Linked DNA regions of Macaca mulatta. The protein of the gene in region 7 binds, or shares a complex with, the protein of the main gene of each other region. Links are inferred from orthologs where the notes say so. Each region holds a gene or a part of one and is shown on either strand. Other genes may lie near its edges.

The links.
Region 1: MED13 (region 7) and MED20 share a complex: the UniProt entries of both Homo sapiens proteins name them as parts of the mediator complex. The link is inferred for Macaca mulatta from reciprocal best matches to the Homo sapiens genes MED13 and MED20.
Region 2: MED13 (region 7) and MED16 share a complex: the UniProt entries of both Homo sapiens proteins name them as parts of the mediator complex. The link is inferred for Macaca mulatta from reciprocal best matches to the Homo sapiens genes MED13 and MED16.
Region 3: MED13 (region 7) and MED23 share a complex: the UniProt entries of both Homo sapiens proteins name them as parts of the mediator complex. The link is inferred for Macaca mulatta from reciprocal best matches to the Homo sapiens genes MED13 and MED23.
Region 4: the proteins of MED13 (region 7) and CCNC are in contact, whole or in part, in a cryo-EM structure (PDB 8TQC), measured with the Homo sapiens proteins. The link is inferred for Macaca mulatta from reciprocal best matches to the Homo sapiens genes MED13 and CCNC. Residues at the interface, in NP_005112.2 of Homo sapiens: Tyr1342, Ser1630, His1631, Val1732, Lys1733, Thr1734, Thr1736, Phe1738, Gly1739, Pro1740, Gly1741, Ala1743, Arg1897, Met1898, Ile1901, Asp1905; in NP_005181.2 of Homo sapiens: Gln7, Gln13, Trp14, Leu16, Gln19, Lys23, Gln26, Lys27, Arg75, Tyr76, Glu144, Leu145, Asp147, Cys148, Ser221.
Region 5: MED13 (region 7) and MED24 share a complex: the UniProt entries of both Homo sapiens proteins name them as parts of the mediator complex. The link is inferred for Macaca mulatta from reciprocal best matches to the Homo sapiens genes MED13 and MED24.
Region 6: the proteins of MED13 (region 7) and CDK8 are in contact, whole or in part, in a cryo-EM structure (PDB 8TQC), measured with the Homo sapiens proteins. The link is inferred for Macaca mulatta from reciprocal best matches to the Homo sapiens genes MED13 and CDK8. Residues at the interface, in NP_005112.2 of Homo sapiens: Thr1616, Met1617, Asp1618, Arg1619, Lys1621, Val1622, Gly1623, Ile1624, Pro1625, Thr1626, Asp1627, Gly1628, Asp1629, Ser1630, Val1732, Lys1733, Thr1734, Leu1735, Thr1736, Gly1737, Phe1738; in NP_001251.1 of Homo sapiens: Leu9, Glu12, Arg13, Arg71, Lys74, His75, Pro76, Leu81, Gln82, Lys83, Val84, Tyr133, Asp137, His140, Tyr141, Met330, Gln331, Phe335, Leu336, Leu340, Pro341, Thr342, Ser343, Asp344.

The regions. Positions count from the first base shown.
Region 1 is NC_133409.1:140,252,642-140,256,677, reverse strand, and holds the start of MED20 (mediator of RNA polymerase II transcription subunit 20), read right to left. Parts: upstream 2,801-4,036; 5' UTR 2,680-2,800; coding exon 2,666-2,679; exon of another isoform or gene 2,043-2,665; intron 1-2,042. Other genes in the region: BYSL (bystin), read left to right, coding at 3,222-3,489. UniProt on the Homo sapiens protein: Component of the Mediator complex, a coactivator involved in the regulated transcription of nearly all RNA polymerase II-dependent genes.
Region 2 is NC_133424.1:1,546,014-1,550,284, reverse strand, and holds the start of MED16 (mediator of RNA polymerase II transcription subunit 16), read left to right. Parts: upstream 1-1,471; 5' UTR 1,472-1,573; intron 1,574-3,149; 5' UTR 3,150-3,167; coding exon 3,168-3,336; intron 3,337-4,059; coding exon 4,060-4,167; intron 4,168-4,271. UniProt on the Homo sapiens protein: Component of the Mediator complex, a coactivator involved in the regulated transcription of nearly all RNA polymerase II-dependent genes.
Region 3 is NC_133409.1:36,667,873-36,672,050, forward strand, and holds the start of MED23 (mediator of RNA polymerase II transcription subunit 23), read right to left. Parts: upstream 2,801-4,178; 5' UTR 2,635-2,800; coding exon 2,596-2,634; exon of another isoform or gene 2,379-2,595; intron 2,247-2,378; coding exon 2,215-2,246; intron 2,058-2,214; coding exon 1,970-2,057; intron 1-1,969. UniProt on the Homo sapiens protein: Required for transcriptional activation subsequent to the assembly of the pre-initiation complex. Component of the Mediator complex, a coactivator involved in the regulated transcription of nearly all RNA polymerase II-dependent genes.
Region 4 is NC_133409.1:86,296,427-86,300,710, reverse strand, and holds the start of CCNC (cyclin-C), read right to left. Parts: upstream 2,801-4,284; 5' UTR 2,668-2,800; coding exon 2,636-2,667; intron 1-2,635. UniProt on the Homo sapiens protein: Component of the Mediator complex, a coactivator involved in regulated gene transcription of nearly all RNA polymerase II-dependent genes.
Region 5 is NC_133421.1:64,378,864-64,382,363, reverse strand, and holds part of MED24 (mediator of RNA polymerase II transcription subunit 24), read left to right. Parts: intron 1-875; coding exon 876-913; intron 914-1,179; exon of another isoform or gene 1,180-1,283; intron 1,284-1,359; coding exon 1,360-1,442; intron 1,443-1,779; coding exon 1,780-1,958; intron 1,959-2,067; coding exon 2,068-2,167; intron 2,168-2,472; coding exon 2,473-2,648; intron 2,649-3,500. UniProt on the Homo sapiens protein: Component of the Mediator complex, a coactivator involved in the regulated transcription of nearly all RNA polymerase II-dependent genes.
Region 6 is NC_133422.1:6,371,775-6,376,053, forward strand, and holds the start of CDK8 (cyclin-dependent kinase 8), read left to right. Parts: upstream 1-1,479; 5' UTR 1,480-1,507; coding exon 1,508-1,635; intron 1,636-4,279.
Region 7 is NC_133421.1:49,699,513-49,703,012, forward strand, and holds part of MED13 (mediator of RNA polymerase II transcription subunit 13), read right to left. Parts: coding exon 3,335-3,500; intron 2,352-3,334; coding exon 2,160-2,351; intron 1,672-2,159; coding exon 1,448-1,671; intron 1-1,447. UniProt on the Homo sapiens protein: Component of the Mediator complex, a coactivator involved in the regulated transcription of nearly all RNA polymerase II-dependent genes.

The DNA.
Region 1 (4,036 bases), on a different chromosome or scaffold from region 7:
TAATCCCAGCTACATGGGAGGCTGAGGCAGGAGAATTGCTTGAAACCAGGAGGCGGAGGTTGCAGTGAGCCAAGATCGCACCACTGCCTTCCAGTCTGGACAACAAGAGCGAAACTCCATCTCAAAAAGAAAAAAAAAAGAGGAAATTTAAGTACAGTACAAAGAGGTTAAATAACTTGCACTAGGTCACACAGTTAATGCGTGGTACACCCAAGACTCAAAGCCCAGCAACCTGGTTTCATGTCCATGCTCCTAACCACTAACTAGACTGCCTGTATAGGGATGTAGTGCCTGTTAAAACATTTTTAAGGAAAAGATCAATTTAAAAAATTAATAAACAATAGTACAGGCAGTACTTAGCTATATAGAAATCAAGAAAACAGTCATAGATGACATTGCTTTATGATCAACTAAATGAATCTATTAGGGTAGAGTCCTTCTGTTGCTAAAAATTGTCATTACTCTATCAGAAAAAGCACTGATAAACAATGTTGCTAATGTGCCTTATTTTGAAATATAAAAGAATCCCTAAACTGACGCTACAAGGGACAGAAGTCCTAGGATTCTGAAAACGTTGATAAGGGTGCCAACAGAGAGCCCTTGCCCTGGAGCTGCCTTCTCCATTTAAAAAGCAGGGGTGGCTGGGCACGGTGGCTCGTGTCTGTAATGCCAATACTTTGGGACACCAAAGCAGGAGGCTCGCTTGAGTTCAGGAATTCAAGACCTGGATGTACAAAACAGCAAGAACCCATTTCTATTTCTTTAAAAAAAAAAGAAAGAGCATGGGGTTCCAGGGTTCTACGCTGCATCCTTTCTATTTCCATCCCTCACATATCTTGCTTCCATTAAGGAACACAGGAGGATCATGATGTGAACTGTGGGAAACAAGAGTGCAATCACTGAGAAACCTGCAAGAACCTGGGCTACCAGGAGGAAAAGTATTTCCCCTACACATGCTTTTGTATGAGAAGCCTATAGCCACTGGCTTCAGATATCCTGGCCTCTGGGTTTCTCCCACGGGGAAAAATGCTCACATCTACTGAGATAAGAAAAAAATGTTCTGGGACCTGGCACCTTACAACTAACGCCTCCACAAGCACTGGACCCATACCTTTCCCTGCTACCTCATCTTCTTCCAACGGAGACTTAAAACCTATGAAAGATAAAAACTCCTCTGAAACTAGACTAACCATGGAATTAAACATAGTGGGAAACGGGTCCTAAAGAGATAAAGTGCCTGGAACCCTGATCTCCTTATTTTCAATAGCCTCTTTTTCCCTCTGGACCCAAGATCTTAAAATGGGCAAATTAGAAACAGACACAAGCTGGTCTAACTGCATTTGATGGCTGAGGGAAGGGTAGGCAAAAATCTTGGCCGGTCGCGGTGGCTCACGTCTGTAATCCCAGCACTTTGGGAGGCCGAGGCAGGCGGATCACCTGAGGTCTGGAGTTCGAGACCAGCCTGACCAACATGGAGAAACCCCGTCTCTACCAAAAATACAAAATTAGCCGGGCGTGGTGGCGCATGCCTGTAATCCCAGCTACTCCGGAGTCTGAGGAAGGAGAATGGCTTGAACCCGCGAGGCGGAGGTTGCTGTGAGCCGAGATCGCGCCATTGCACTCCAGTCTGGGCAACAAGAGCGAAACTCCGTCTCAAAAAAAAAAAAAGAAAGAAAAAGAAATAAAGAAAAATAAAGAAAATCTTTAAAAATACTGTTTCCTGATTGCTTATAACCCACTCCCTCTAACCCTGTCTGCAGGTGGGTCACAGTCCAAAGACCCTATTTCCAACCCTGACGTCCCATTGCGGGCAGTACTATGGCCTCACGGGAAGGAAAATGAATCTAGAAGGGAATGAGGTACACAACCATTGATAGGTTCCTGGGATAAAAACTTTGCTTTGTCGGCCGGGCGCGGTGGCTCAAGCCTGTAATCCCAGCACTTTGGGAGGCCGAGACGGGCGGATCACGAGGTCAGGAGATCGAGACCATCCTGGCTAACACAGTGAAACCCCGTCTCTACTAAAAATACAAAAAACTTACCCGGGCGAGGTGGCAGGCGCCTGTAGTCCCAGCTACTCGGGAGGCTGAGGCAAGAGAATGGCGTGAACCCGGGAGGCGGAGCTTGCAGTGAGCTGAGATCCGGCCACTGCACTCCAGCCTGGGTGACAGAGCGAGACTCCGTCTCAAAAACAAACAAACAAACAAAAAAAAAAACAAAAAAAAACTTTGCTTTGTCGACACCAGCCTGGCCAATATGGTGAAATCCCATTTCTACTAAAAATACAAAAAATAGCCGGGCGTGGTGGTGGGCGCCTGTAGTCCCAGCTACTCGGAAGGCTGAGGCAGGAGAATCGCTTGAACCCAAGAGGCGGAGGGTGCAGTGAGCCAAGATCGCACCACTGCACTCCAGCCTGGCGACAGAGCGAGACTCCGTCTTAAAGAAAAAAAAAAAAAAAAAAAAACTTCGCTTTGCTTTCCCGCCTTCCAAGAGGAAGGGGCGCATCTCCGAGGAAACAAGGCCGGGGAACCCGCGGCTCGCACGGCATCCTCTCATCCACACAACCCGAGGACAGCTCCCAGGGGACGGCGGACCACGGTCAAGGTCCTCTTTTCGGCCCTTCACAACTCCAAGCTCCGCCCCACAAAACCCCCTGCAGTCCTACCAAGTCACTCCCATGGCGTCGGGCCAGGAAGGCGGCCGGATCACACGGTAGAAACGCAGGGTTCCCTATCCGCCCACAGAAACTGCTTCAGTTCCCCAACACAACCTTCGGTCTCGGAAGAGACTCCGGAAATACGTAAAAACAGAGCGCCGGGTCCACGCCTTCCCCAAGGAGTGGGGCGGGTCTCAGGGCCACTCGGTGACACCTCCAGTGACATCATCTGCGGATTCCCGCCCACAGGTTTCTAAATCCAGACATTCTCGTTTGGCTGAGCACTCTAGGCCTAGACCCATGAAGCTAAGAGCGACACTCAAAGACTGCACTGTTGAGAGAAGCTAACGTTAAAGGCTGTGAATATATTGGGGAGTCCAGCTCCGGAACCCGGGAGCTCTTTTAGTGGGAGGGGCGGCGCTGATGGTGCTTCTGGCCTCCGAATGCTAGGGGGCGCTGTGATCGCCGCGTGGCCTCTTGAGAGCCGGGAGTCCACCGCGCAAGCGCAATCTGGCTTTTTCGCCGTCCCCACGTGCGAACCTCCGCGGCAACGTTTTCGAGAAAAATGCCCAAGTTGAAGGCGGCCCGTGGGGTCGGGGGTCAGGAAAAACATGCGCCCCTGGCCGATCAGATCCTGGCTGGGAATGCGGTGCGGGCAGGGGTCCGGGAGAAGCGGCGGGGTCGCAGGACCGGAGAAACGGAGGAAGAGTATGTGGGACCCCGGCTGAGCCGGCGGATTTTGCAGCAAGCACGGCAGCAACAGGAGGAGCTCGAGGCCGAGCATGGGACTGGGGACAAGCCCGCGGCGTCGCGGGAACGCACCACGCGGCTGGGTGAGTGTCTGGGATGAGATCCGAGGAAGACAGTGGCCAGTAGTGGGGCGGGGTGGACAGCTAAAAAGTGTCTGGCAGGGGAATTGCTTCGAGTCAACAAAGGGTCCGTATTACACTTGCAAAAGTAATGGAATGGGAAACTGAACCCTGTTCAGAGCCCTCCGCGTCCACTCCTAGTTTTAGGCACTCCCTTCTACACATCCCCTAAGTTAGGCCAACAGTAATCGCTCGCTCCACCCTAGCATTTATCCATTGGTTTTGTAAATATATATGGGATACCCACTACGAGCTTTGTACTATGCTCGGAGTTCTATCGAATGTTTGGGTACAGAAGTAAACAACATAGGCACGTCTGACTTAAGGACCTTACAGTCAAGCCCAGTAGAGAGTCAATTAAGTAGACTCTTAGAATAATATTTTTCTATGATAAAGTGTCGCTTCCCTGGTAACAATAGCATTGGTCTTGAGAAGCTTCTCCGATTGCAGCAGGACCTTTTAAGTTGAGAACTGAAAAACGAATGGGAAGTGTTATGAGCAGAAAACACAT
Region 2 (4,271 bases), on a different chromosome or scaffold from region 7:
TTGAGCCTGGAAGGCAGAGGTTGCAGTGAGCCAAGATCGCGCTACTGCACTCCAGCCTGGGCCACAGAGCGAAATCCTGTCTCAAAAAAAATAAAAATAAAAACGGAAGAGCACAACATCCATTGCATTAAACTGGCTTTTGGAGGAGGAGGTGGGAATGGGGTTGGAAGTAGGAATACTCAACGGGGTCCGTGACTTCGCTTACAGGAGCCTCAGTTTCCCCACTCTCGGACATTAGAAAATGGAAGAGGGGGAGGGATTGCATTGGGAGTTATACTTGATGTAAATGACGAGTTGATGGGTGCTGACGAGTTGATGGGTGCAGCACGCCAACATGGCACAAGTATACATATGTAACAAACCTGCACGTTATGCACATGTACCCCAGAACTTAAAGTACAATAAAAATAAATAAATTAATTAAAAAAAAAAAAAGAGGCCGGGCGCGGTGGCTCAAGCCTGTAATCCCAGCACTTTGGGAGGCCGAGGCGGGTGGATCACGAGGTCAGGAGATCGAGACTATCCTGGCTAACATGGTGAAACCCCGTCTCTACTAAAAATACAAAAAAAAACTAGCGGGGCGAGGTGGCGGGCGCCTATAGTCTCAGCTACTTGGGAGGCTGAGGCGGGAGAATGGCGTGAACCCGGGAGGTGGAGCTTGCAGTGAGCCGAGATCACGCCACTGCACTCCAGCCTGGGAGACACAGCGAGACTCCGTCTCAAAAAAAAAAAAAAAAAAAAAGAAAGAAAGAAAGAAAATGGAAGAAAGCCTGGGCAAGGGGGCTCACGCTTGTAATCCCAGCTCTCTGGGAGGCCGAGACGGGCGGATCAGGAGGTCAGGAGATCGACACCACCCTGGCCAACGTGGTGAAACCCCGTCTATACCAAAAATACAAAAATTAGCCGGGCGTGGTGGCGGGAGCCTGTAGTCCCAGTTACCCGGGAGGCTGAGGCAGGAGGATTGCTTGAACCCAGGAGGCGGAGGTTACAACGAGCCAAGATCGCGCCATTGCATTCCAGCCTGGGCAACAGAGCGAGACTCCGTTTTGGGGGGAAGAAATAAAGGACAAAAATATGGAACGCTTCACGAATTTGCGTGTCATCCTTGCGCAGGGGCCATGCTAATCTTCTCTGTATCGTTCCAATTTTAGTATATGTGCTGCCGAAGCGAGCACGACACATTGGTTCTACCACCAGCTATTTATAGTCCCCGGAGGACATTTCTTTACACATACGACGACTTGTCTCCACTGCTCTAGAGATTCAACCTCTATTTGTATTAGTCCAATGTGTCACGCAACTAACGCAGTTATTAACTGGAGTTGAGAAAGTGCTCGTTATTCTACCAAATATAGCTACAGTGGCTGCTGGGAATTACTGGAAATGCTCGTATGCAAATATACCCGGAAGCGGGGCGGAGCCTGAGCCGCACCGCCCTCCCAGAAGTCTTTGGGAGGCGGCGGCGCGACTCAGGCGACTGGTTGGTGCCGGGGAAGATGGCCGCGCCGCAGCCGAGGCGCTAGGGAAGTTCGCATAGCGGACGCCCGCTGGGCTTGGTGCACGGGCCGGCCAGGTGAGTGCGGGGCTGCGGGGGCCCGGCGAGGGCGGACGGACCCCTTACCGTGTCACTGGACCCCAGGGAACGCGGCGCGGGCGTGGCGGGCCCTGCGGGGTCAGGGGGCGTGGCCGGGAGCAAAGGCTGCTGGGTAGGCGGCCCGGGGCTCCGGGTTTGCGGCGGAAACTCGCGGGAGGCCTGAGGCCCGCGGGGCGGGGGTCGGGGCGGGGCCTAAGGAGAGTTTGGGGCGGGGTTGAAGGCGCTTGGTTGGATTGTTGGGGGGGGGCCTGGAGAGGGAATAGTGTCCCTGGGGTGGAGCCTGGGGACTGGGGGTCTGTAGAGGCAGGGCCTGGAGACTGGGGGTTATCGGTACGGGGCCTGGAGAGGGAATAGGGTCCCTGGGGTGGAGACTGGGGACTGCGGATTTATAGGGGTCTGGAGAGGGTATAGGGTCTCTGGAGATCGGGGGTTATAGGGGCGGTTCCTGGAGAGGCTGAGGCGTCCCTGGGATGAAGCCTGGTAGTTGGGGTTATAGGGGCAGGACCTGGAGAGGTTCTGGGGTCCCTAGGGTGGAACCCGGAGATTTGGGGTTATGGGGGCGGGGCCGGGAGAGGCTACGGGTCCCTAGGATGAAGCCTGGTGTTTGGAGGCGGTAGGGGAAGGGCCTGGAGAGTACATGGGGTCCCCGGAGTGGAGTCTGGGGACTGGGGAGTCTTAGGGGTGAGGCCTGGAGAGCTGGGGGCATTGGAGGCTGGACCTGAACAGTACATGGGACCCCTACGGTGAAGCCAGAGAATTTCGGGTGAGGCCGTAGGCTCAAGGGGTGAATTGAAGTGTGGGAAGCAAAGAGTATCAGCGGCGGGGCTGAAAGACTTTTAGGGGCTTGCGGCGGATCCTTGGGGGTCTGGGGCAGACCCTGAAGAAGTAGGGGGCTGGAGTTAGGGCCTGAGGAAAATGGGGCTGGTGGTCATTCCAGTCTCACTGGGCTTTTGCCTCTGAAGCAAAACAGCCTGTCCAGATGTCAGGTGCTTAGAAAACCCCGAGGAAATGCTCCCTCTGTTCCCTGTCACACTCAGCCCCCGCCTCGGCCACAGGCATTCCCTGTCACACTCAGCAAGCCCCTTAGCCCCAGCACGCCTGCCCCGCCGTGGCCACAGGGAACCACCCTACTGCTTGCCTGTCTGTGGGTTCTTCCTTCGGGAGAGACCCAGGGTCCGCCTGCCGCCCCCATCATCACTCACCTGGGCCAGTGCAGACCCTCCGCCGCATCTGTCAGCTGTGCCCTTGGCCCCCATGGTCCCTTCCCCAGACAGCCAGAGGGGTCCTGGTGAAACCCAAATAGGTCCCAGCCCTCCCGGGCTCCCACCTTGCTGACGGTAGAAGCCCACCAGCCCAGGACTGGCCCTGACCTCTCCACGTTCCCCCTCGGCCCCAGCCCCATGGACAGCCGGGAACGCCCAGGCTCTGTCTCGCCTCTGGGCCTTTGCATTGGCCGTTCCCTCCACTGCAGGCCTCCATCGTTTACCCACTTCCGGCCTGGCATGCCCTGGGTGCTCAGCCAACATAGCTGACCCGCCACACCTCCCTCCCGCAGGAGCTGGTGACTGCCCTCATGTGTGACTTGCGGCGGCCAGCGGCAGGTGGGATGATGGACTTGGCCTACGTCTGTGAGTGGGAGAAATGGTCCAAGAGCACCCACTGCCCATCGGTGCCCCTGGCCTGCGCCTGGTCTTGCCGAAATCTCATCGCCTTCACCATGGACCTGCGCAGCGACGACCAGGGTGTGTCCCCCCCGCCACCCGCTTCCCCTCCCGGCCTCACGGTGTCCTGCCCTGTTCCCCAGGTGCCCGGCACGCTGCCATGCGGGGACTCGGTCTCTCAGGCCTCCCCTCACTCTTCCCCAGCCCTCCTCTGTAACTTGGGTGAGAGCCTCAGCCTTCTGGGGGTACAGAGGGTGGATTCAGTGCTCCCCAAACCTGGGGCCGGGAGACATGAGATCGCCCCGTGTGTGGGATCGAGTGGGGCTGGGGCGGTGGTTGACGGAGGCTTGTTGGAGACACGTGCCCCAGTTTTCCAGACAGCATGTGTCACTGTTTGGTTTTTGAAAGGTACGTGGTGGCTATGCCCATCTTCTCTCCATTGTTCGAGTAATAGGCACTCATAATAGGTGGTCATTAGAGAAAATTAGAAAACCACAGAAAATTGGAATCAAATCAGGGCGATAAAAGGCCCCCATTACCTGCTGTGGAGAGGCTCCCACTGTTCATGTTTTGGGGTCATTTTCTTCTAATCTGGTTTTAAAGACGCGGTCATGGCGCCTCACGGGCCTGCTCAGTTCCTGCGGGGGGACAGCCCGTTCCCTGAGCTGTCGACCCGACTGACAGCAGCTCTGTGACCTCCCTGGGGTGGGACACGCACTGGCTTCCCTGGAGCCTGCCCGGGGTCATCGTCCTCGCCTCCAGGCCATGGCGCCAGGCCGTGATGACCATGTCCCGTCCCCACAGATCTGACCCGTATGATCCACATCCTGGACACGGAGCACCCCTGGGACCTGCACTCCATCCCCTCAGACCACCGCGAGGCCATCACCTGCCTGGAGTGGGATCAGTCAGGTGAGGCCCCGGTCCCACGTGGCTGGGGGCGGCGACCCGGATCCCGGAGCAGGGGGCCCGTGTTCCCCAGTCAGTCTGGAGTCCGGCGCTGGGTCTGGAGCCCC
Region 3 (4,178 bases), on a different chromosome or scaffold from region 7:
AACTACCATCAGAGTGAACAGGCAACCTACAGAATGGGAGAACATTTTTGCAATCAACTCATCTGACAAAGGGCTAATATCCAGAACCTACAAAGAACTCAAACAAATTTACAAGAAAAAAACAAACAACCCCATCGAAAAGTGGGCAAAGGATATGAACAGACATTTCTCAAAAGAAGACATTCATACAGACAACAGACACATGAAAAAATGCTCATCATCACTGGCCATCAGAGAAATGCAAATCAAAACCACAATGAGATACCATCTCACACCAGTTAGAATGGCGATCATTAAAAAGTCAGAAAACAACAGGTGCTGGAGAGGATGTGGAGAAATAGGAACACTTTTACACTGTTGGTGGGATTGTAAACTAGTTCAACCATGATGGAAAACAGTATGGCGATTCCTCAAGGATCTAGAACTAGATGTACCATACGACCCAGCCATCCCATTACTGGGTATATACCCAAAGGATTATAAATCATGCTGCTATAAAGACACATGCACACGTATGTTTATTGCAGCACTATTCACAATAGCAAAGACTTGGAATCAAGCCAAATGTCCATCAGTGACAGACTGGATTAAGAAAATGTGGCACATATATACCATGGAATACTATGCAGCCAAAAAAAGGATGAGTTTGTGTCCCTTGTAGGGACATGGATGCAGCCGGAAACCATCATTCTCAGCAAACTATCACAAGAACAGAAAACCAAACACTGCATGTTCTCACTCATAGGTGGGAACTGAACAATGAGATCACTTGGACTCGGGAAGGGGGACATCACACACCGGGGCCTATCATGGGGAGGGGGGAGGGGGGAGAGATTGCATTGGGAGTTATACTTGATGTAAATGACGAGTTGATGGGTGCAGCACACCAACATGGCACAAGTATACATATGTAACAAACCTGCACGTTGTGCACATGTACCCTAGAACTTAAAGTATAATAATAATTAATTAATTAATTAATTAAAAAATAAATAAATAAATAACAAGAAAGGAAGGAACAAGTAACTCTTGGACTGATAGGGAATTACCTTTAGATTATTATTAGGAGAAAAAAGTGCTAATTAATTAACAGTGTACATGGTATATGATCATGCTATAAAAGTGTTTCTATACGCATAAAATACTTCTAGAAGAAAACATAACTTGAGGATATTGGCTAGAGACAGAAAAAAGAACAGGTAAGAGAAGAGAAAGAGACTAGTTATTGGATCCACCCTTTTTATACCTGTGCATTTTGAACCATATGAATGTATTACCTATTAGAAAATAATTAAACAAAAGGTTAAAACATGACTGTATTAGCATTATATGATCCATGTCTGAAGTGGCAAATCTTATCACCAGTGGCTGACACACAGTTCTCATTTCCCTACCCATAATACACCATGAGAAGGTAAGGCACTACTGGAATGTGAGCTCTTCAAGGATGACACATTTTGTCTTTTTCACGGATACATTTTCTGGTAGCTGTTCTTTGTTACTTTTACAGTTTGTTTCCTCATTTTTACTATAATATCTTCCTATCGTTATTATAGAATCTTGGTATTCCTATTGTAGCATCTTTGTATCAATGCTGTGCCAATTCCTTTATTAAGTAAAACAAATGGAATGTGTATCTTTGACAAGTAAAGCTTAACACATCTGTTTTCAAGTGTACCAAAAAAATCCGAATAGGATGAAAATGATCTTAATTAATCTAACATAGGGGAGTTTTTTTCTTTTTTTCAGCGTTGCACACTGTGCAGTATCAACTTGACTTCTCAACATAGGTTTTCTACCGAAATATACAAATTAAAACAAACGTAAGCCAGAATAAAAAATGATGACAATTTTATTTCTTCCTTCTCAGGAAGATCTTAAGAGCAACATCAAAGTAAATGTTAAAGGGAAAAAAAAAAAGAAGGGGGCAAAAATCATCAGCTGAATGTATTAAAAATGAAGTGCTCACCTGAGAAAGACCACCCCAAAACTGTCTGAAGGCACCCAAACAGCTAATTAGTTTTGTTTTCTCATCTTCAGGAGTATCCATAAACATGCTAAAAAAATAAAAATTACATTATTTGTCATTCGTTTTAAAAAGGTAATTACACACAATCAGAATAGTGGATCTTAGAACCTTCCAACACGAAACTAAGTAAAATCTGACAGATACAATCACATGAAAACACAAAAATCCGCCACGCATACACTCACCCAGGAAAAGCCTCTTCTATAACTTCCGTTTTCTGTAAAAAAAAAAAAAAAAAACAAAAAACAAAATGTAAACAATGTTAATTTTTAAAAGGCGCCTCCCTTAGCCAAGTATTACAATGTAACACAGGACAAGTCACCTTAATCAGCTCTGAAACTATCAATACCTGTCGGGCCTGTCACTGTATCGATTTCAAAGGATACAATGAACTTGACAGCAGTTTGAGAATCACTAAACCTCCCCGCACACAACCTCGATGTCAAAACAAGAGAATAAAAAGGGAAGCGTGAGACGAAGTTGCCCGGGCCAGCTTCCTTGGTCTGCTGCCCCCGCGTCTACCCGTCCCCGAGCCGTAGTCCTGGATGGCCGGCAGCTGCACTCACCACCACCTCTTCGAAAATGCTCTGCAGTTGCGTCTCCATCTGTACTATTACCCCCGCCTTTCCGGGGTGCCCGGTAAGGCCCGGGTCAGACCCGAGCTCTGGGAATATATGGGGCGAGGGTCGGAGACCGCCGGAGGAAACCGTAGCTCTCCGACGTCGCTTCCCTCCCCCAGTGCTTTACCGGGGAGCCTTCCCTCCGCAGCCCAGCCAACTGGAGGAACCTGTACGGAAGACCGGAAGGGCCCGGTACTCTCTGTTTGCAAACCCCGCAGAAACCAGCGGCGCCGCCAGACGGTTCCGTCTGTGGAGAAGGTCAGCCCGCAAGCCGGACGAGAGCGCCCCCAAACGGAACCTTGAGCCCAAGGACCCCGGAGGCGTGATCGACCGCAGGCCGCCACCTCCCGGCTGGAGAAGGAGTTGCTTCCTGCTCGGGACTAACCCGTTTGCAGACTGGGAAATGAAAAGCTTGAAACCCAGAGGCTGCAGCCTGCGGAAAATGCTGGAGCCGCAGCTGATGTCTGTGAGCAGCTGACCTTCTGGACCTCCATCAGCGGCCTGCAGCCAGGAGCTGAAGCCACAGAGACGGTGCTTGTCAGCTATGATAACCTCAGTGCAAATGTGATTGACTGACTTTTGAATGCCAAACCAATTTTGCTTCTATGGTATAAATGCTACTTGGTCATAATATATTATCCTTTTAAATGTATTGCTGGATTCTATTGGCAATATTGTTGAGAATACGTGTTTTTCTTCATATGCCACCGTCATCACCAACCCCTAAAACATCTGTTATGCCTTTTCGATGATCAGCTTTCTTTACCTCAAAAAGAAAATTGTTGATGAGAGTCATAGACATGCAAAGGGCCTTTCACTTCTTTGTGAAATGCCACAAACTGCTAAGCATGAACTACTCCTTTGTAGCTGCTAAGTGATGAGCTGATGAGTCCCCATTAGTGGTTTTGTTATACAAGTCTCTGACCTGGCATAAATTTAGTTTTCTAACAACTTTAACATGCACATGCAACCATCGTTGCCCACACAATAGCTACTAAAAGCTTAAAAGAAATAATTCAGATTCCCTGCTGGAGAAAAACTTGAAGAGTTAGGCTTCGTATATTGTTTGCTAGGGTTGCCATAACAAAATGCCACAGACTGGGTGGCTTAAACAACAGAAATTTCTTTTCTTGTAATTCTGGAGGCTAGAAGTCTGAGGTTGAGGTTGGTAGGGTTACTTTCTATAGAGCCCTCTGTCCTTGGCTTGTAGATGACCTTCTTCTCCTTGTGTCTTCACGTGGTCTTTCCTTTGTACATGGCTGTGTCCTAATTTTCTCTTCCTAGTAGGACACCAGTCAGGTTAGGGCCCATATAGCTACTCTAAAGAGCTTTAGTTCAGTTGAAGAAGTAGACATTTTAAACCGTAATATAGTGTAATATGTGCAATACTAGTGGTGCTAATAACGTGCCAGGGGGAAAAGGAGGAAATACAAATTTTTCTACAAAAAGGGATTTAGAAAGATACCTACGTGAGTTTGCTTAGACTGCTGTGAATAGCATACTATAAACTGGGGGGTAATTTGAGTCTG
Region 4 (4,284 bases), on a different chromosome or scaffold from region 7:
AATAATTCATTTACAATGTTTGCATCAGTATTCAAAAGTGAGACTGTTTTTAGTGTTCCCTTTACTAGATTTTTCTGTAAGTGTTATCATGGCTTTGTAAAGGAAAGCTTTTCTTCTTTCTGTATGAAATGGAACAATTTCAAAAGGAGATTCTCTTGAAAGATGTATTTACCCATGAAATAAGGCATAGTTCTTGGGTAATACTCTTAACTTGCTTTGGCTTTCAAATTTAAAACCCTGGAGATAACCCAAAAGTACCCTTGGGTTTACTTTTCTCATTCCTAATTTTGTATTTTTGTATCATTCCTTTCTCCCCTGATTTAACTAGCAGTAGTTTCGTCTACTGTTTTTGTTTACTCTAAGAATGATCTTTTATAATTTTTTTCCTTTTAATATATTAGCATCAGCGTTATCTATTTTAAGATCTTCTTCCTGTTTCTTTAGGCTTATTTCATGTTTCCTTCTTAGTATTATTAAATAGAATATTTCTATTATCTCTCAATTATTCAGGATATTGATTTTCTAATACATTCAAGCTTTGGTTACATTCCATATATGGTAATATTATGATGTTATTTTATAGATATTAAGTAACTGTATTTTCAGTTTCCTTTTTCACACAATAAAGTATCCACAGTTAGTTTTGTAGTTTCTATTTTTGTTACTCCTTCATTAATGCATTCAATCAACCCAGCAAATACTTAGTCCCCTTCTAGTTCATTTTGGTCACAGACTGTGTTTTGTTCTACTTCAACTACATTGTGGTTTGCTAATTAATTTCATCCCCACAGAGTCATTTTATGTTTTTAAAAAGATAAATTTCATAAATTTCACAAACATTTTATGAATTTTCCTCAGAGCTGTGTATGCAGGATAAACTAAAAAAATTTATAAATACTGCATTTCATCAAATTTAAGATTACATCTTGGATTCATCATTATTTCATATGCTATGAAAGAAACTGCCATGCTCATTTCAAAGATGTTAAAGTGTGAAAATATGCATCTTAGAAGCATGAAATATAGCATATTTAATGTCAATTGCCCTCTTTCACCAAATTCAGCTAAAACAATGGCCTTTCAAAATCTTTTGTTTGTTTTTCCAGAATTGTCTTGTCTTCCATACTTGTTACCTTTTCCAGATAAGAAACTCTATGACTGCTCAAGGGATCTGAGCAAGGCAAAGTGATCCCTTCTTTTAGGAGTATTTGAATTGGGAGAATAGTTTCAAAGAAGTACACTTAACTTTGTAATAATTTTATATTTGAAAAGTGAAAAAATGTTTTTATAACGCTATGAATAAATGAAAGCATAATGAGAACACCATTGAAAAAAGGTAGGAGCTTTTTTTTAAGTTGAAAAACTGACAAATCACCAGTCAGCTACTTGTCAATTCTCTCGGCTTCTTTCAAAGTTTATCAGAATCTCTCTTCTCCACTACCTAAATTTTTTTTTCAGGAGCTCTAACTCCAATACCTAAACTTTCGATACTTTAATTCTGCCCAAGCAATATTTCAGTGTGTGAAAACAATGCAACATATATATAATACACACACACACATATATATACACACACATACACATATGATCAGTTGCCTGCCTCTTTAACATGTCATCTCCACAGAATCACTTTATAGCAAGAGGAAAACCTGCTTTTCCTTAAATAGGTTACCGAGTTCATTGTTTCTTTTTTCTCCTTGCAAAGGGCTAAAAAATGAACATCAGGAACAGATCCTATTCACAGAATCGAAATTTAAATTACTTACTAATGCTTTCTTAGCATAAAAAATTATACTAAGATACCTTCTTTGTCAAGTTCTGTTCATCTTTCAACTATACAGTGGAAAGCCTACTCAATGTTCAATTAACCCCATCACGCACCTTCCTGCCTGCTTAAACAAATGTATTTAGAGATAAATGTTTTTAATATTATTCTAGCTCTCACATAGTCACTGACAGAAACAAGAACTTATTCATGAAAAAGGTTAAAGAAATAGAGAAACAAAATCACTGGAAAAATACGCCTTTAAAACAAAATATAAGGCACAGGCTAATGAAATGGATAAGTTTACAGGGCACCTGCCCTATACCTTATCAATATAAAACTCCATCTAGACATAAAGTACTGGCAAGAAGAGGTTAGTAGGCAGAAACAAGCCAGACTTTCTCCTCTCCTCAGAATATTAAATCCACTCAAGATATACAGTGAATGACAAAAGACCACGACGCCAATCACCCGAAGAAATCCCAAGCAAAAGCACGCCACAACTGTCCTGAACAGGTAGCCTCACAGTCTTGAGCTGAGTCACACTTCCCGTACCTGTGCCCACTCTATCCGACCCCCTGCGGCCTAGTTAAACTAAAAATCCGAAATTAAACTCTGAAACGTTTCTTCCTGGGAGACTAAACTCTCTCCCACCCCTCCCCCTCACAGATCCTTCCCTCCCCGAAACGGGCTGGGGGCGGGGAGGGGAGTCGCCTCAGAAAAGAGCATCTTGCTTCTGGCCGCTGCCGTCTCCCTTGAGGACCCCGGCACTCGGAACTGAGCCGGGATCCAGGCCCAAGGGAGTCGCAGGCCCCTTCCTCACAGCCCCCCAAAAACCGGCCCCAGGTGAGAAGACGTAAGATCACTTACTAGTGGGAGCTCTGCCAAAAGTTCCCTGCCATGGAACACAGCTTGCCCTGATAAAAAAGCACCAGCCGGCGGAGCGGCCCGCGGAGCGACCATAGACCCAGCCCGTCCGGTAACCGCGCTCCTCGATCAAATCAGCTCGGCTCGACTCCGCTCCGCGGCGGCGACGGCGAAAGGAAGAGGATGGCCCCCTAGTCTCCTTCACGCCGGCCGACAACACTCAACTGTGCAAACCCGTTCCTATCGACAAAAGTTCCGGCCCGCGGTAGCGGAGGGAGCCGGCGGGGAGGTGCTGACCTGTGGGGGCGCTGAGATAGAAGAGAACTAGTGCTCACGAGAGCTCACGGCGGTTGGAAGACTCTCGCGAGAGCGTCTTGCCTGTTCTGGCCGGGGGCCCACGGCGCTCGGTCTCCTGTCCTCAGCACTGGAGTTGCTGAGTAGGGGTCTAACCTGGGCGAAGTGGCTGAGTTCCGGGGTTCTGTTATTACCTCTTCCAGGACTTCAAAAACAGAACAATGGCATTGTAATAAAATAAAAGATTTTGTGACTTATTTTACCTGTGATTGGAAAGAGAAATAAATGAAGATGACTTTGTTCTCACGGATCAAGTTTTTTTTGTTGTTGTTTTTGTTTTTTGTTTTTTTTACCTTGCTCTGTCGTCCAGGCTGGAGTGCAGTGGCGCGATCCCGGCTCACTGCAAGCTCCGCCTCCAGGAGTTCGAGCGATTCTCCTGCCTCAGCCTCCTTCCCGAGTAGCTGGGACTACAGGCACGCACCACCACGCCCGGCTAATTTTTGTATTTTTAGTAGAGATAGGGTTTCACCATGTTGGCCAGGATAGTCTCAAACTCCTGACCTCGTGATCCGCCCGCCTCGACCTCCCAAAGTGCTGGGATTACAGGCGTGAGCTACCGCGCACGGCCTATTTTTTACTTTTGAGACAGAGTCTGGGTCTGTCACCCAGGATGGAGTGCAGTGGCACAATCTTGGCTCACAGCAACCTCTACCTTTCGAGTTCAAGTGATTCTGCTGCCTCAGCCTCCCCGGTAGCTGGGATTACGGGGATTACAGGCGCGTGCCACCACGTCCATCTAATCTTTGTATTTTTAGTGGAGAGGGGATTTCGCCAGGCTGGTCTGGAACTCCTGACCTCAGGTGATCCATTCGTCTCAGCCTCCCAAAATGCTGGAATTAACAGGCGTGTGAGCTACCAGGCCCGGCCTGGATCAAGCGATTTCTTTCTTTTTTTTTTTTCTTTCTTTTTTTTTCTTTTTTCTTTTCTTTTTTTTTTTTTTTGAGACAGACTCTTGCTCTGTCACCCAGGCTGGAGTGCGGTGGCGCTATCTAGGCTTACTGCAACCTCTGCCTCCCAGGTTCAAGAGATTCTCCTGCCTCAGCCTCCCAAGTAGCTGGGACTACAGTCGCGCACCACCACGCCCAGCTAATTTTTGTATTTTTAGTAGAGGCGGGGTTTCACCATGTTGGTCAGGATGGTCTGGATCTCCTGACCTCGTCATCCGCCCACCTCTGCCTCCCAAAGTGCTGGGATTACAGGCGTGGGCAACCGCGCCAGGCCGCGATCTTAATGGAGTTCTTTTGGAGTGATAGAAAAGTGCAAACTTACAGAGCAGCGAAATCACCGGTTTTGTAAAA
Region 5 (3,500 bases), about 15 Mb from region 7:
GTTGCCTTTGGTTGTCCTGGAATTTGACATATATAGAACATGGTTCCATTCAGTGAGCCATTCTCTAGGCCTTGGAAATCTTCTAACAATAAAAATCCTGGCCGGGCGCGGTGGCTCAAGCCTGTAATCCCAGCACTTTGGGAGGCCGAGACGGGCGGATCATGAGGTCAGGAGATCGAGACCATCCTGGCTAGCACGGTGAAACCCCATCTCTACTAAAAAATACAAAAAACTAGCCGGGCGAGCTGGCGGGCGCCTGTAGTCCCAGCTACTCGGGAGGCTGAGGCAGGAGAATGGCATAAACCTGGGAGGCGGAGCTTGCAGTGAGCTGAGATCCGGCCACTGCACTCCAGCCTGGGCGACAGAGCGAGACTCCGTCTCAAAAAAAAAAAAAAAAAAAAAAAAAAAATCCTTCTGGCCAGGTGCGGTGGCTCACGCCTGTAATCCCAGCACTAAGGGAGGCCAAGGTGGGTGGATCACCCGAGGTCAGGAGTTGAAGACCAGCCTGGCCAACTTGGTGAAACCCTGTCTCTACTAAAAATATAAAAAATTAGCCAGGTTTGGTGGTGGGCATCTGTAATCCCAGCTACTTGGGAGACTGAGGCAGAAGAATTGCTTGAACGGAGGCAGAGGTTGCAGTGAGCTGACATTGTGCCACTGTACTCCAGCCTGGGTAACAGAGCGAGGCTCTATCTCAAAAAAAAAAAAAAAAAAAAAAAAGAAATCCTTCTTTTTCCTGTACCAATGTGTCTCATTTTAAGTTTAACCAGTAACTCAGACTCTAGCGACCGCTCTCTGAGCATGTGTAGTCCCCAGCGCCCAGCTACTGCTCAGCTCATGCCCTGGTTAATGCAACCTGTCTCCATTCCTTTCAGTTTGAATGAATTCACAACCTATGGCAGCGAAGAAAGCAGTAAGTCAGCCCTGTACATCTGCAGGCCCAGTGGGCCCTGAGGAGGGGTGTGGTGGGAGAGTGTGGGAGGGAGGAGGGCTCCCGGGCTCAACAGGGGGAGGCTGTGCTCCCTCGTCAGAGCCATGACCAACGGAAGCTTCCACAGAGCTTGAAAGTGGGTAATGCTGGAACAGTATTCTTCCCAGACCATCCATCCCTATGTCTCCTTCCCCCCTCACTCCTTTATGACTTGGTTGGGTATGCCAGGAGAGGGTGCTGGGGGTCTTTGGTTTCAAGGAAGGGATGATGTTCCAGTTGAGACTCAAGAAAAGGATTCTGAGCCTCAGAGCTTTGAAGGAGCCACTTGGTCCCTGACCTTCCTAGAGGCAAATCCCGATCCCTGTCGACCCAGACACCGACCGCCCCCTGCCCTCGTCTGGGAGCTCAGCCTTCCTGTCCTTCCACAGCCAAACCGGCCTCCGTCCGGGCCCTGCTGTTTGACATCTCCTTCCTCATGCTGTGCCATGTGGCCCAGACCTATGGTTCAGAGGTGAGAGAGAGGGGAGCAACGGGGACGGGGGCTCAGGGGAAGAAGGTAACCCGAAACTCTCCCCACCTCACCGCCTGCACCCCCACAGCCTCTCAGCCAGTTAGTTCTGTGGGCCTCAGAAACCAGGTGCCCACGCGGACGGCCCCTTCAGCCCCATGTTCACACTGACCACTAGGTGGCAGCATTGCCCCCGTCTGGCTCCCTTAGAACAGTTCGTCCCTAGTCTTCGGGCTGGGCTGGAGCAGCAGCCTGGCGGGAAACGGTGCAGTCCCAGGTCCAGCGCTGGCAGGCGCCGCGCCCTCCCCACTCGGCTGGTGCCCCCCTTCCCCTTTCCCAGGTGATTCTGTCTGAGTCGCGCACAGGAGCTGACGTGCCGTTCTTCGAGACCTGGATGCAGACCTGCATGCCTGAGGAGGGCAAGATCCTGAACCCTGACCACCCCTGCTTCCGCCCCGACTCCACCAAAGTGGAGTCCCTGGTGGCCCTGCTCAACAACTCCTCGGAGATGAAGCTGGTGTCAGTGGCCCGGGCGCCCACTCCAAGGGTGGCGGTGGGGGCAGGGTCAAGACCCTCTCCCCGAGCCCGTCCCCTGCTCCTCTGTGCTGACTTCTCTGCACTCCCGCAGGCAGATGAAGTGGCACGAGGCCTGTCTCAGCATCTCAGCCGCCATCTTGGAAATCCTCAATGCCTGGGAGAATGGGGTCCTGGCCTTCGAGTCCATCCAGGTAGCCCCCCCTTCCCAGCAGCCTTCGCTCCCCTGAGACGCAGAGCCAGCCAGTGATGACTTGTTATATTTCGTAAGGGCAAGAAGACCTTTAATCCAGGAGCTCATGTTTTGATATCGATCTTTTGTGTAATTGTAGTCTTAGCCACTCCCTCTGGCCCAGGTAGCTCTGGGAAGATCAAACTTGTGGGGAGTGTGGCCCGGGACTCCACCCGCTGCACTGAGCTGCCCACAGAGGCTGAGAAGGTGATGGTGGTTCAGGAAAGGGAGATAGATGGTAGCCCATCACCTTTCCCTCTCCCCTAGAAAATCACTGATAACATCAAAGGGAAGGTATGCAGTCTGGCGGTGTGTGCTGTGGCTTGGCTTGTGGCCCACGTCCGGATGCTGGGGCTGGATGAGCGTGAGAAGTCGCTGCAGATGATCCGCCAGCTGGCAGGGCCGCTGTTTAGTGAGAACACCCTGCAGTTCTACAATGAGAGGTCAGTAAGCCACCTTCCCTTCTCAGACCCTACAAGTGTGTTGTGAGAAGTCAGCACATCCAATAACAAGCACCCTTCTCTTTTCTGACCTTCGCAGACACGCTGCTCGATCATTCGCTCACTCACTTTCCCATTCATGCATTCACTCACCTGACTCGGCAAACATGTACTGTGTCTCTGTGGCAGAAGCGTTTATATGCCAGCACCTGCTGTGTATCAGAAATGCAGACCCAAACAGGGTCTGCCCGCAGAGACTCAAGTTCTAGACAGCTAGCTCCCAAAAGAAGAAAACTGTATGACTGTCTAGGAGCTAGGAAACTGTCTGTAGGTTTTACAGGCCATCCCCCACCCTCAGTTCTCTCTTAGGACAGTTTCCTGCCCTGGCTCTTCGAGGGCTTGGAGGACTTCCGTGGTGGCCAGCTACATTGAGTTCATTCACCCAACCAATAAGTTGTTTGCTTTTTTTATTGTAAAACACACATAAGATTTGCCATCTTAGCCATGTTGTTTAAGTGTGCTGTTCAGTAGTGTTAAGTATATTCACACTGTTGTGTAACAGGTCTTCAGAACTTTCTTCTTACATCTCTGAAACTCTGTACCCGCTGAACAACAACTTCCCATTTTCCCCTCCCTCCAGCTCCCAGTCACTACCATTTTGCTTTCTGTGTCTAGGAATTTGACTACTTGACACTTTTTTTTTTTTTTTTTTTAGACAAGGTCTTATTCTTGCCCAGCCCAGAGTGAGTCTACTGCAACCTCAAACTCCTGGGCTCAAGTGATCCTCTCGCCTCAGCCTCCCAAGTAGCTGGGACTGCAGGCCCACAGCCAGCTAATTTTTCTATTTTTTGTAGA
Region 6 (4,279 bases), on a different chromosome or scaffold from region 7:
CCCTTTGGGAAGTGGGGAGCTTTAGTGGAAATGGTAACAATTGGAAACCAAAAATTAAAAACAGACAAATAAGAGGGATAAGATAAAATGATAGATTAGTATCAATCTTGAAGCAGGACTCCTGAAGCAGGACATACTGCTACCGCAAAATTATTAACAAACTAGTTCCCATGGATTTAGATCCTTTCTGTAATCATAGCTAGAAACTGGTGTTCTTATGGGGAGCATCGCAGAAGGCTGTACTGTACTCAATACTTCCTATAAATGGACAGGAAAGGTTGGATGGTCATCTGTCACAAGAGTAACAATGTTTAGAAGTAGCTTGGACAGTAGTCATTGATTCACTTTTACTGGAGCTTGTAATGTCAGTATGTTGACATCATTGTGCAGCCCTTATCAGATTGTGAACACCAAGAGTACCCCAACTGCTGGCCCGCGAGCTGTTTACAAATATATCCGCTTTTATAGATGACAGTGGCCTTTAACATCTGGAGTTCAGAGTGGCACAAAATGTGTTTCTAAAGCTACTCTCCTTCCCACGTGCATCTCTTTGGTCAAGTTTATGGCTGGAATCAGACTCTAGTTAGATCGCTATAAAAATAAAAATAAAAATAAAAATAAATTTTCCCCAAGTGATTGAAACGAATTTCACCCTAGACTACGAGTCCCAACATGCAACGCTCCCATATTCCCACCATGTGGGGCGGAGTCGTAGAAGAGGCGGCAGCGGCGGCGGCCTATGCATTCTGGGTATTGTAGTCTCGGAACCGGCCACCGCTGGGGCTGGTCCCACGTGTTGCGTTTTGCGGCAGCTTTGGGCAGCGGCTCCCCTGCTCCCTCCACACGGTCCTCAGGGTGCCAGCGCCAGCAGGGGCGGCCAGCCACCGCGGGAGCGGGTTGGAGGGTGGTTCGGAGGCAGCCCGAGGCTTCGCGACGTTTTTGCGACAGCCGCGGCCGTGTTCCGCGAGTGCCCTCCCTCCTCCTCTCTTTGAGGAGGTACCGGCTGTTGTGCGGCGCTGCCTTTCTGTTTGAGTGTATGGGAGAGTGAGTGAGTGAGTGAGTGAGTGTGAGCGTGTGTGTGAGCGCGTGAGGCGTGAGTGCGCGTGTGAGAGGACGAGAGCCCGCCTGGCCGCCCCGCCGCTCCCGCCGCAGCAGGAGCAGAACGCGCGACCGGAGAGAGCGGCGGAGCCGGCGCCCAGGGAGCCCGCGGGGACAAGGGCAGAGACACCGCTCCCCACCCCCAGCCCTCGTCCCTCGGCTCTGCTTCGCCGGGGGATCCTCCCCGTTCCTCCACCCCCGGCCGGCCTCTGCCCCGCTGCCCCCCTGGATGTCCCCGGCGCTTTCGCGGGGCCTCCTCCTGCTCTTGCCGCATCAGTCGGGCTGGTGCTGCGGCCGGCGGGCGTAGAGCGGGCGGGTTCCCGGGGGCTGCGGCTGCCCGTGCTTCCCCGGTCCCCACCCCTGCCCCCCGGCCCCCCGACCCAGCTCTCCGGCCTCGGAGGCTGTGACAATGGACTATGACTTTAAAGTGAAGCTGAGCAGCGAGCGGGAGCGGGTCGAGGACCTGTTTGAATACGAGGGCTGCAAAGTTGGCCGAGGCACTTATGGTCACGTCTACAAAGCCAAGAGGAAAGATGGGTGAGTGTGTGCGTCTGGGCCGGTGTCCGCGCTGGGCGGCGCTCCCGCAGGCCGAGGCAGGTAGCCCGGAGGGAGAGCGGGCCGCCGGGGTGCCGGGCTCTGACTTCCTCGACGCCGGCCTCTGGCTCCGCCAGCAAGGTTTGGGGAGGAAGTGGTGTACAAGGGATCCAAAGCCACAAGAAATCCTGCGTGCCGCATCTGTGTTGTGCTTCGGTGCTAAGAGGGAAGAGGAGCCTCTGCACCGTGGGCTATATACTTTTCAAGGATTTCAAAGCTGATTTATGAAAAAATGCGTTCTAAAACGCCGGGTGAAATGTTTCTGTTTGTTTTTTTTTCCTTGGTCGATTTATTATGGTAACCTTCTGGGGATTTCCTCACCCGCCTCGGGAGTGTCATCCATCGGTCTAGAAGGAAGGCTGTGATCCTTTCCCCCCCCAGTTTGTGATCGATTTTTTATCAAATTTGTATTTTATTTGAGGGAAGGAAGGCAGCGAGTGAATGTGGTTCTGGAGAGAGTTCCCCATACGGATCATCTGCACCATACATGTTGCAGTTGCTATTTAGATATTATTAGCTGTGAATTTTTACATAGAACAATGGGGGTTTGGTGCAGGGTGGGTGGTGGGGAAGAAGACAAGTGACATAGGGACTATCTCGTTGAGGCTGTTTCCCCCAAATTTAGCGGCTGGCAGTGAACTTTAAATAATCCCTTTGCTTTAAATATTCTTCCCTAGTAACAACTTAATTAAACCTATGAGTGGTAATGCTTCCAATTTAGTTTCTTAACAGGCAAGTGAATTGTTCGTTTTTTTCTCTTTGTCAGTAGATGAATGTCTTGTAATATTGACAAAAGAGAAGGCAGTTCTTAGTGGGGGGGAATAATATATATTTTATTAACTCCATGTTTTCTTGTAAAATGGATGTTGTCTCTGTTGCCTTTGACAGAATAGAAAATTATTGAAAAGTCAAAGCTTATTATATAATCTTTGGATTTTATTAGAAACGAAGTAGCTTTACTGGAACATTCCAGTTTAGTTACCTGCTATATGATGTTTAATCACTTAAAATTTCAGATTAGGAGAGTATGTTCAGACTACATTAGCACGAAAAAAAATTCATAAAGCTGAAGTTCCCTAGTGTGGGGGAGGGGGGCGCATATTTATAAATACTTTAGTATTCTGGATGTTGGAAAGGAAAGTGTGTATTTATTCAACATTTTTCTTAGATTTACTGAAATATCTTTCTAAAAGTGTTTACAATGGACTCTACGAGGAAGATAAGAGTTCTCATTAATTTGGAATATGTATTTTAGTGCTTTTATGCCACAATAAAGTGGAACAGATCGGCAGAAGGTAGGGATTTGGATTTGAAAACTTGATACTCTGGGCGCCGCACGTATTTAAAAGTACTTTTTAGCACTGGAGAAATCAGCGTCTGGAGATACTGCTGACTCTGTTGATGTCTAATTAGACTTATTGTTGAAGTTTTACTCTGTAATGACATATATTTTAAAAATTATGTTTGATAACTTACCATACAATATTTCTCAAAAGCTTTAAACCATCTCTCCTTCCCCCAGTATTATGTAATTTTGGGCATATTCATAAAATCCCCAATCCCATGAGATTAGACATTACAGTGCATTTGACCACACTGTCATGTTATATAAAATTCTAGCGCCTTTGCATTATTTTTAATCTGTGTGAGAGAAGCCGCTTCTGTTTTCAAAAACTATGAACTTAAGCTAATAAAATATGCATATTTGTTTTAACGTTGTACTTTTATTAGAAAACTAATACTGTGTATTGGCAGGAGGTACTTAAGCAAATATTTTATATCTCCATGGTCCGGTTTTAATTTAGGTTGTTAAGAATAATTTGAAAGAATAATTTCAATATCTTTGAATTTAAAGATAGTTGAAGGTATAATGTATGGACATTCTTAGTCATCCGTGACAGCTGAAAAGTAACATTGCATTTTGGAAAAAAGAGCTTATTATTTGTAATCCTTGGCGTTTGTTTTCCATCAGTCTTTAATGATTCTCTTTATGTGATGAACTTCTGTTTTTAATGGATCAAATGTCAAGAGAGTTTTAAAATTACTATCTTTTAGAGATAGTTTTGGAGAGTTTTAAAATTACAGGGATTTTTCAGTTTGACTTCTTTTTTGTAACCTCACTCTGGTAAAATATCGCATACTATTTATGAGGTTCTTTTGATCTTATGTCAGTGAAATGTAATTTAATGCATTTTAGTCCTGGTAAAATAAAATTTGTGGCTGTTTAATCTTTTATAATAAGATGATGATCAAATAATTTGTTTCTAGTATTGATTTACTTTCAAATTACATTATATATTCTGCAGCTGAGATTTGTTCTCTAGGAACTCAGACGGTAACACCTTCAAGGAGAACCTGAGAATTTCTATAAAAGGAAATAACACAAATAAGCTTGGTTTAGACATATTTGACTATTGAAATGAATGTATGTAAACGTTGTATCCTTTCAGTTGCCCCAGTGAGCATAGAACATGAACAATTGGTAAAATAATTTAGACCAGAGGAGTTAGCTGCTTAAATTATTAAGTTTTAGGAAATAAAATAGCTTGAAAGATTCATTTTTTGACTTACTTGAGGCATGATTGCA
Region 7 (3,500 bases):
TTTTTGAGACAGGATCTCACTCTGTCACCCAGGTTGAAGTACTGTGGCGCAATCTCAGCTCACTCTGCAGCCTCAACTTCCTGGGCTCAAGTGATCCTTCTGCCTCAGTCTCCCAAGTAGCTGGGACTACAGGTGTGCCACTATGCCCAGCTAATATTTGTATTTCTGTACAGATGGGGTTTCGCCATGTTGCCCAGGCTGGTCTTGAACTCCTGGACTCAAGTGATCTGCCTTGCCTCAGCCTCCCAAAGTGCTGGGATTACAAACATAAGCCACCATGCCTGGCCAGAACCCAAATCTTAAAACTAAAAATCATTTCACAGATTTGCTTTTCAGGTTCTCCTGTTCAGCGTTCACTAGCTTTGATAACTCAAAATGAGGCTCACCTGTTGGGACCTATTAGTTATATCCTTCGCAAATAATTGGACATGGTATTTACTGCCAAGAATCCTAAAATGGCCATCATATTCTGAAGACATCCTAACTTTTTTTTTTTTTTTGAGACAGTCTCATTTTGTCGCCCAGGCTGGAATGCAATGGCGTGATCTCAGCTGACTGCTACCTCTGCCTCCCAGATTCAAGTGATTCTCCTGCCTCAGCTTCCTGAGTAGCTGGGATTATAGGCACCCACCACCACACCCGGCTACATCCTAACATTAAATGATAAAATTTTATTTATTTATTTATTTTTTTGAGACGGAGTCTCGCTCTGTCGCCCAGGCTGGAGTGCAGTGGCCGGATCTCAGCTCACTGCAAGCTCCGCCTCCCGGGTTCACGCCATTCTCCTGCCTCAGCCTCCCGAGTAGCTGGGACTACAGGCGCCCGCCACCTCGCCCGGCTAGTTTTTTGTATTTTTTTAGTAGAGACCGGGTTTCACCGTGTTAGCCAGGATGGTCTCGATCTCCCGACCTCGTGATCCGCCCGTCTCGGCCTCCCAAAGTGCTGGGATTACAGGCTTGAGCCACCGCGCCCGGCCATAATGATAAAATTTTAAATCGCCAATTTTAGTAAATGAAGTTAACTTAGTTAATTAGGGGCTATATCTTAGATGGTATATGAGAAAAGTTTAAATGTTCTATACTTACTAGACCATTTTTTAATTGCAGAAGTGTTTTCTAACTACATCTTTCACAAATGTTCAGCTAAAATAATTGCAAGCTTTATGACACAGAAGTTAGTGATCTTAATGTTTTTTGTTCATGTAATAGATTAATCATAATTATTTTTAATTATCTTATACAATATAAACATTCACTACAGAAAAAGTAAAAAGCACCCACAATCCCACATCTTAATATTTTAATATATACAAAACCTTCAAGCTGGTTTTCTATTCATTAAAAATGAAACAATATATATACACACACACACATATATACACACACACATACACACTCACACACATGAAAAATGGAATGATATGATATATTTAGGGAAATACAAATACCTATTTGGAACATCGATGTTAATGATACAAGTTTCTAAAAGTTCTCCATAGAGATCTGTGCAAGATGCAAGAATCCACCTTTGATCATGTGATAAACAGTATCCCACAAAAAGAACATTGTATTTCTGTCCAGCTTCTCCAAATGTTTCTCCTAGCTCTGTCTGTTTGTCCTTCACTGGAGCCAGAATAAAAGGAGGTGCATAAAGTCGAATACACTCTGGTCTCTATAAAATAAAAAATTAAGGTATTATCATACTATACAATCTTAGATAAATATGCATTTAAAATGTAATTATCATCTACCCAATTATAAGATAACTGGAAAATGAGAGCTAAGCCAAAAATTGCGCTTAGTTTTGCATAATATCAAAAAAGTGTTGGCAGGGCGCAGTGGCTCGTGCCTGTAATCCCAGCACTTAAGGAGGCAGAGGTGGGCAATCACCTGAGGTCAGGAGTTCGAGACCAGCCTGGCCAACATGACAAACCCCCCCCACACACACAAAATTAGCTGGGCCAGATGGCGCATGCCTGTAATCCCAGCTACTCGGGAGGCTGAGGCAGGAGAATTGCTTGAACCCAGGAGGCGGAAGTTGTGATGAGCCGAGACTTCCCCACTGCACTCCAGCCTGGGTGACAAAGTAAGCCTCCATCTCAAAAAAAAAAAAAGTATGTATAGTCATTCAACAACTTTGGTCATGAAAAACATACTTACATCAGGACTTCTAAGGGCAGTTTCCATGGCTAAACCTGGACCAAAGCCAGTCAATGTTTTCACATTGGTTGATGTTGGAAGTGGCCTCCGACACTGGGTAAAGGCCGAAAAAGCCAGGGATTTTAAATGCTGGGGATAGATCTCTCTATCTTCATGCTTCACAGGTTGCAACAGGTACTGACAAGGAATTATCTAAGAAGTGTAGGCAAATATTACAAATGTTAAACTTTCAAAAGAGAATAACAGGAATTGTGGGTCTAAAACTCTAAAAACTTTTTACTAGAAAATTTAAACAAAACCTAATTTAAATGAAAATTTAAGAATTGTTTTCTTATCTATTATGTAGGCTTTGAATAAGTAGCCAATTTTACCAATGGGTTCTGAACTAAAGGACTATTTAAAACCTGTATAATTTTCTGGCCAGGCGTAGTGGCTCACACTTGTAATCCCAGCACTTTGGGAGGCCAAGGTGGGCGGATCACGAGGTCAAGAGATAGAGACCATCCTGGCCAACATGGTGAAACCCCATCTCTACTAAAAATACAAAAATTAGCTGGGCGTGGTGGCACATGCCTGTAGTCCCAGCTACTCAGGAGGCTGAGGCAGGAGAATTGCTTGAACCCGGGAGGCAGAGGTTGCAGTGAGCCAAGATTGTGCCACTGCACTCCAGTCTGGCGACAGAACGAGACTCCATCTCAAAACAACAACAACAACAAAAAACTATAAATTTTCTATGTAATAATTATATTAATAATGCCATTGACCAGTCCTGAAGTCTATAAAATAAATTCAAAATTTCTTCTAACAACTTAATATGGTTAATTGCTTTCTCCTTTTCTTGCAACCTGTCTTGTATGTGCTATATCTTTCTATTTAGGCTCATGAATTTAAAAATTGGCTTATAAAAGTAACACAGGAGAAACATTTAATGTACTTAATGGACTTTTTAAAAATTCTGTATTATTACTGTGGTATGACTGTTTTTTATTCTGTATTATTACTGTGGTATGACTTATAAATTATCTAAGATTTATATTATGATATTAAAGTAAAATCAATATAATAGAACTTGGCTTTTAGATAATCAATTTGAATACAGAAAAGTAGTATCTGAAACTTCTGACAACATCAAACTGTTTTACATAATTTTAACTGACAACATTTATCACTCTTACCTGTACAGAAACAGTACTCTTGATATGAGGAGGAAGAGTCTGGACCATTTCTAGAAAGCATCGAAGTAGCCCCAATGTCCACACACTAGAAGAGTTAGCGCTCTCGTCTGTATTTTCGTATGTAAAAGGATCAATTATATAAACAACAATTGCAGGTGGATATGTG